Linked DNA regions of Xenopus tropicalis. The protein of the gene in region 1 interacts with the protein of each later gene in a pairwise test. Links are inferred from orthologs where the notes say so. Each region holds a gene or a part of one and is shown on either strand. Other genes may lie near its edges.

Region 1 (3,923 bases):
TGTGAAGGCAACTCGGGGAGATTAGTCGCCCGCGAACAGGGAGTTTTGCCGCGGGCGATTAATCTCCCCGTGTGCCAGAGCCATAAGTGGGGAAAGCTGCCTGGCTGGCAGAGAGAGACTGGGAATTTATGAAACAGATTTGCCGGTTTCTCCCACTATTTAGCAGATTTAGAATGATATTCAAAATAAGCCCTATGGCATCCAATTTTCATTAGTATCTTAGTCATAAAGTATTACAGATTTGTCCTTATGAGAAGAAGAAGGGCAATAACAATTTTATTTGGCAACACCAAGGGGTTGCGCCTCTGCCATGCAGTGCTGGGGTCCTGAGTTCAGTCCCGGACAGGGTGCTTCCTGCATGAAATTCTTGCATTAGTTCTTCTGTACCCCCACTTACCCCATCCTCCAAACACATACAGGCACTTAACTGGCTTCTGAATAAACTGAGCACAGTGTGTGTGAATGTGATAGGTACCTTAGATAGTTAACTCTGCTGGGGCTGGGCCTCATACATAAATATTTATTAAGCACCTTGGAGATATTTCAACACTTTATATGTATAGACCAATAAATAAAAAATAAACTTCCCTGTTCAAAACTACTACTTACTATAACGCATACTAAACACACTGTTCTCAAGACACGAAAACATTTTCTGACGCTTTAGTCCAATTATTTGCAAAAATTGCAAATGGAAGAACCTAATATACACTCAAACGGGGCATAGCTTTGTTTTATTAGTCAATGAGGGTCTACGTTTCCAGACGCCCAGCATTATTCACTTGCTTGTCTAGAAACTGCAAGTCGATAACAGGTAACACCAACAATAAACATCGCTTCCCGTCTCAAAAAGCAGGTCTCCAAAGCAGCCACGCCTTCTATTCCTCTGATTGGCCAGTTGAGATGTCACGCCTTGCCATCACACCATTTTCCAAAACAACAGGGTGAGATGCGTCACAGGAGGCTGGTCGCTATTCTCTATTATCTGTACGCAAGTGGTAGTGAAAAGGCCATTTATACAGGCGGTCCTTGCGCCCGTATTGCGTAAAGTCTCCATTTCAAGAAATCTTAAGAGAGCGGAAAAGAACTCGGACGCCATTTTGCGTGTTGCTCAGTTTTAGAGCACATCAGCTGTTAACTTTCACTAAGGAACCCTGCCTTTGGATACTGTTTAAGCAGCGTTGCAACGCCCAGGGTTTAGAAGGTTGAACGGTGTCCCAGTGTCTCTTTGGTTATACGAGCAGATTTCAAAATGAGGGGAAGTTTTATGGATCGCGACCGAGGCGGGTGAGCGTTGTTTTGATACGGGCATTTAGCTGCACATTTAGGACGGCGAGGCATTGAGCACTGCATAAATAATATAAGGTTTGATAAGCACATCAAGCTCCGAAGCATTGGCTGAAAATGCGCACTGTTCTCAAGAGGTATCGGGTTTGTTGACGCAGTATAGCGTTGTTTTTGCGATCTGCGCCGGAGCGGAGCGACACAAAGGCACATAGGTGCGACAGCTGCCTCTCACGGTTGGTGGGAGCTGGAATTCGCCAGGAGTTGAAGCGCAGTTTTCCCACCCATTCCTTGCAGTGCTGTGTCCGCCATTACGTGTAAAAGCCTCTGTTTTATTTCAAGGGTAGCCGTGAGCTGAGCGCCATTTAGTTATTTATAGAGTACATAGACTTGCATTCCTCCTGCCCCCTGTGCAACGTGTATAAATAAAGTTTAATTCCCAGTTCTCTATACAGGACATATATTAATTGGGGGCAATAATAAACCCTGAGAATAGGGAAATGATCCCACCTCACACACAGTTTTGCAGGGCCCCCACCAGTAACCTGCACCTTCAGCACAAACCCATGGGCAGATATATTTTTTGTCTGTGCATAATTAGTAGGAATGTATTTCTAGGTGCTTATTATCCATTCACTTTGGATACTGTCTTGTTTTTCATTATATCAATTAATGTTTCTGTCCTTGCTGACCCCCCTTCCTTTCCACTACACCAGTGGCCTCAAAGCAGGTGCCCATTTTTGCATTTCTGACTTGAAGTTGAAGTTTTGGAGGCATAAAGGCCATGTGAACTGCTACAGAGAGCCTTCTGTAGGCTGCTTGTCCACATTGGGCTACCAAATAACCAATCACAACCCTATGGGCTACCAAATAACCAACCACAACCCTATTGGTCACCCCTAGGAACTTTTTTTCATGATTGAGTTGCTTCCCAACTGTTTAATAATTATATGTTGCTCACAGCTAAAAAGGTTGGGGACCCCTGCACTACACTCTAAAGGCTGTGACACACGGGGAGATAAGTCACTATGCGACAAATACTCCATGTCACAGGCGAGTAATCTCCCTGAAATGCCATCCCACTGGCTAGAAGGTAAGGCTGATGCCACACAAGGCGTTTTTTCTCTCGGCGGCTGAAAAACGCCCGATATCATCATCCATAGAATTAACTTAAAAAGACTCGAAGCAAACCACACAATGCGGGAATACACTAGAAAACGCCTTAGCATGGATTTTTCAAGCATTTGCCAAAATACGCCAGTATTTGCACAGCAAGCTATTCCTATTTATACACAAAGACAGCTGCCAGACCTAGTGGAAATACACGGCGTTTTTTACTATTTCACACTATTAGCACCATGGAAACGGGATTTGCTACGTCTCCAGTACTAAGCTGAAAAACGCCATAGTCAGGGGCTGTGTGGCTTGTGCGGCGTTTTGAGGCTGAGAAAAAACGCCACGTGTGGCATCAGCCTAAATCGCCTGTGAGATGGCATATGTGGCACTGCGATTTGCCAAAGTTTCCTTGAGAGAAACTTCGGCAAATCACAGCGCCACGTATGCCACCCCACCGGCGATTTACATTCTTGCTGGTGGGATGGCATTTTGGGGAGATAAGTCGCCCGTGATAAGGAAGATGTGTCGCTCGGCAAATACTGTATATACTCGAGTATAAGCCTAGTTTTTCAGCACCCAAAATGTGCTGAAAAAGGTCACCCTCGGCTTATACTCGAGTCGGTTGCCATGGGTCCCTCCAGACCAGCACCCTCTGTCCTTTGTGTGCAAATTAGGCCCCCCCCGCAACCAGACCCTCCAGTGCCCTGGCCCGTCCCAAATTCATCTTCATCTATCATCCTTACCTGTCCTATTCTGCACTAGACATTGCAATTTATATTCTATATAAACTATACATAGTTTTGAAGGATTTTAACTCTTTGTGTTTTAGCTTGGTTGCTGATTGAGCTAGTTTACTGTATTTCTTTTAAATAAATATTTAAAAACATACCCCACTGATGCCTCCATTAATGTAATTTTATTGGTATTTATTTTGATTATTGAAACTTAGCAGTAGCTGCTGCATTTCCCACCCTAGGCTTATACTCGAGTCAATACGTTTTTCCAGTTTTCTTAGGTAAAACTAGGTACCTCGGCTTATACTCGGATCGGCTTATACTCGGATCGGCTTATACTCGAGTATATACGGTAATCTCCCCATGTGTCAGAGCCCTAACAGCAGTCAGCCCCTTGGGATTGTTCACTAAGCATCAGCTTTTTTGTTTCCAACTGGGGATGTATACATTTTTTATATGATGTAATGAATAGCTTTAGGTTATAATATTCAAAAAGTGCTAAAAAAGTCTCCTGATATACTTTGTTTTTATTTTTTGGATGACTAGTGGTGCTGGTATGTCACGCTTTCCAAAATTTGGAAACCCCGGGGAGCGTCTCCGGAAGAAACGCTGGGATCTGAGTGAGCTGCCAAAGTTCGAAAAGAATTTCTATACAGAACACCCCGAAGTGGCACGCATGACACAGGTGAGTCTGGATGAGCCCCTTCTGTTTTTATGACCATAGGCATGTTTGGGCACCCATGATTTTCTTTTAACGTACCATGGCGGTCAAAATACATGTCTCCACAT
Region 2 (3,923 bases), on another chromosome or scaffold:
GGAAGCCATTTTTGGCATTCCCTTAATTCTGAACTTTCTGGATAATGGGTTTCTGAATAAGGGGTCCGATACCTGTACTTGATAGTTTTTGTTATCTATTTTGCCTCGCTTTGTAATATTGTGTTCAGTGCCTCACCTAATGAGTCACTTATTGGTGGGCATAAATTAAAAAAAATCTGGGAAATAACCTTTTTACGAGGTTCATGGTTTAAATAGGTTATTGGGATCTGGAGCTATATTCTCCTACATTCTGAACACATTGCCACTGTTCACATTTAATAAAGGGATCAATGCCCAAAACATTTTGTGTACAATCACATAAAAGTATCTGCAAGGCTTGAATTCTAGAATAAAGTACGCTGGAAAATTTGTTTTGAAAATTGCACTTTGCACATAACACGGTATTAATAAATGTACCTTATAGAACATTGTGTTAAAATGTTAAAGAGGTTACCAAAGGTCTACAATCTATATATCCCTGTATAGTAACAATACTGCATTAGGATTGTTTGACAATAACAGCAAAGGAAATACCAGTAAGATATGTTTGAGTGAAACACAAACATGAAATAGTGTATTAATAATCTGTAGGGGTGGTACTACAAAGGGAAACAGACTAGAGATTCAAAGGGCCTAGAATGGTCCTTACAAAAAAACAATTTTAATTACCCAATTTAGCATATGTTTAATAGTTCTAAAATGAATTTGTTGTGGGGACCAGTAACAACTAATTACACCACTAATAATGTGTAAAAAAAAAATCTACTTTTAACTGAAACGACGTTCTCGGCTTAAAATCACTTGAACAATTATGCACCTCCTATCCAGCAGCCTAGTAACCTGCAAAAGTATATAGAATCGATTCTACTGGGTTGTTTAAAACGCTTTGCATCTGATATGCCAATGTTGTCTCTTTCCAACGTTCCTCTTTACATTTCACTGAAATTTTACAAAAGTAAAATTGATATGAAACAAATGAAACCTTAGAAACCATTGTAGCACAAAAGATTTCACGCGTGAAAGGATGGATCGAAGCTTTAATAAACCTGCAACGTAGCCATTAGCCAACCCATAACGCCCCGTGGGAAACGCAGAGAAATAGCGGAAGTGACGTGCCCAAAGACCACCCCATCCTATGCGATCTTGTAAGAATGACTGCAGAGCTATCCAATAGAATTTTAAGAAAGCCAGAAAGTACCCAATCGCTATTCAGGGCGGTCAATTAGGCGAAACCGCTGCAAAATGGCGGAGTGTAGTTGTGTGTGAAGACACTATCATCCCGTAACTCGCCATGAAGGGAAAAGAGCGCTCCCCGGCCAAGGCCAAACGGTCCCGGGGGGCGGAGGAATCAACTCGCGAGAGAAGCGGAAAAAAACTGAGCTCCGGTGGAGGCAGTAACGGATCATCGGGAAAGACATCTGAAAGCAGCACAGGCCGCCGGAGCCTGCATGTGGAAAAGGCTATTTCCTCGAGCCGCGACTATGATCAATCGAGCAGAGCCCAGGGCTTGCATCGCTACGGCTCCCCCGGGGCAAGCAGTGGCAGTAGCAGCAGTAAAGGTGGCGCTGAGAGCCGAGGCGGCGGCGGCCGGGCTACAGAGAGCCGTGCAGAGCCAGAATACTACAAATCCTTGCGGATAAGCGAGCTGGGCTCCTCGCTAAGTGACGAGGCAATAGAGGATGGACTTTTCCATGAATTCAAAAAATTCGGAGACGTAAGTGTGAAAATCTCTCGCGAGGGGGACGAGCGTGTGGCCTTAGTGAATTTCAGGCGCGCCCTGGATGCCCGAGCCGCTAAGCACGCCCGCGGGAGGCTTGTCCTTTACGACAGACCCCTCAAGATTGAGGCTGTTTATTTGAATGTCGGCGGTACTAACCGGAGGCGCAGCCGCAGCCCTGGGGAGAAAGACTCGTATGGCGGACTCGCCGCCGCTGTTTCCACACTAGCCACACACAGGCACCCTCACGGCCAGCGCGCACTCTCCCCCGGCGGCCTGGGCTACAGAGACTATAGGCTGCAGCAGCTGGCTCTGGGGCGCCTCCCACCGGCTCCGGCAGCTCTACCCAGGGAGCTGGACAGGGAACGGGAATACAGCCTTTATGATAGCCGGCTAAGGTCTACCTACACAGTAGATCCCCGACTGAACTTTAGAGACGAAGACCTTGCTTTAGAGATTGATGCCAGAGCTAATCGTACACTCTTTGTTGGAAATCTGGATGTCGTTGTCAAGGAGAGTGAAATTTATAGGGTCTTTGGACGTTTTGGAACTATTACAGAAGTAGATATAAAACGAGCTGGTCGTGGGCAGCAAACGACCTATGGTTTCATAAAGTTTGAAAACCTTGACATGGCTCACAGGGCAAAGGTTGCAATGTCCGGCAAGATGCTTCGTAGTCATGCTTTAAAGATCGGCTATGGGAAAGTAGTACCAACAAACCGCCTTTGGGTGGGGGGTCTGGGACCTTGGGTACCAGTAACTGCATTGGCCCGGGAATTTGATAGATTTGGCACCATCCGTCAAATTGATTACCGCAAGGGGGAAAACTGGGCGTATATACAATATGAAAGTCTGGATGCTGCCCAAGCTGCCTGTACCCAGATGAGAGGCTTCCCTATGGGGGGTGACCATAGAAGACTTCGTGTGGATTTTGCAGAAGCAGATGTTCGTTTTCCACATCCTTATGTTCAGCCATTACCCATCCCTTATATTGATTTTGGAGAGGAGACACCAGGACATCGGACTAGTGAAGCCAGCAGAGCCAGAGATCGTTCACCACCTTTAATATTCAGGGACAGGGAAAGAGATGCTTATACAAACAATGATTGGGTGTCACCTCCTGCCAGAGACAGACACAGAGTCACTAGTGAATCTCTTGAAACAATAGAACGACGTGCAGATAATTGGGCTTTAGACAGAGACCGTGAAAGAGATGAAGTGAACAGAGATCAGCCCAGGAAAAGGAGACTGGATGATAGCCGTCACCTAGACAGATCACCAGAGAGTGACCGCTCTAGAAAGAGACACTGTGTCACTCCTGAACGTAGCCCTGAAGGCAGTGGAGGTCGAGACAACCGTTACAATGACTCTGATCGAGTAGCATGCCGCTCCTCACCTTCTAGAGATTGGAAGGGAAGCCTGGAGCGGGGTCAAGAAGACAAACATGATAGAAAAAACTCAGTTGAAAGAGAAAGAAGGCATCGTGTACCTGCAAATAAAAGCCCTTTAAAAAAGGATGAGCATCCAGAGGGCAACAGCAAAGTGAAACCTCCACAAAAATCAGAAGCAGCACACAAGCTGTGTCTGGCTTGGCAAGGTATGCTGCTGCTTAAGAACAGCAATTTTCCATCCAATATGCACCTTTTGCAAGGAGATCTTGGAGTTGCATCCAGCTTGCTGGTTGAGGGACCTTCAGGAGGAAAGGTGGCACAGCTAAAAATTACACAGCGCCTACGACTTGACCAGCCAAAGTTGGATGAAGTTACTCGACGCATCAGAGTGGCAGGGCCTAATGGCTATGCCATCCTACTTGCCATTCCTGGTACTTCCGAGGGTTCATCAGTGGACCAAGCCAGTTCAACACAACGACCCCTAAGAAACCTGGTGTCCTACTTAAAACAAAAACAAGCCGCAGGTGTTATCAGCCTGCCCGTTGGGAGCAATAAAGACAAAGATCATGCAGGAGTTCTTCATGCTTTTCCTCCCTGTAATTTTTCCCAGCAGTTTCTTGATGCTGAAGCAAAAGCCCTTGTGAAGTCTGATGATGACTACCTTATAATGATTATAGTTCGTGGGGCATCCTAGGTCCATGTTTGTATTTCTGTCTACTATTCACAAGGTATTATGGGATACAGTATAACTTTTAGTTTTTTTTTTTTTTGTAATCGCAAGTTCAGTCTTTGTATTGCAGTTTTTGATCTGCTTA

Evidence for each region.
Region 2: the proteins of ddx17 (region 1) and rbm15 interact in binary tests that used the Homo sapiens proteins (3 or more experiments, as listed by UniProt). The link is inferred for Xenopus tropicalis from reciprocal best matches to the Homo sapiens genes DDX17 and RBM15.

Annotation. Positions count from the first base shown.
Region 1 is NC_030680.2:120,510,847-120,514,769, forward strand, and holds the start of ddx17 (probable ATP-dependent RNA helicase DDX17), read left to right. Parts: upstream 1-1,110; 5' UTR 1,111-1,252; coding exon 1,253-1,287; intron 1,288-3,680; coding exon 3,681-3,819; intron 3,820-3,923. UniProt on the Homo sapiens protein: As an RNA helicase, unwinds RNA and alters RNA structures through ATP binding and hydrolysis.
Region 2 is NC_030678.2:72,275,388-72,279,310, forward strand, and holds the start of rbm15 (RNA-binding protein 15), read left to right. Parts: upstream 1-1,199; 5' UTR 1,200-1,291; coding exon 1,292-3,802; 3' UTR 3,803-3,836; intron 3,837-3,923. UniProt on the Homo sapiens protein: RNA-binding protein that acts as a key regulator of N6-methyladenosine (m6A) methylation of RNAs, thereby regulating different processes, such as hematopoietic cell homeostasis, alternative splicing of mRNAs and X chromosome inactivation mediated by Xist RNA.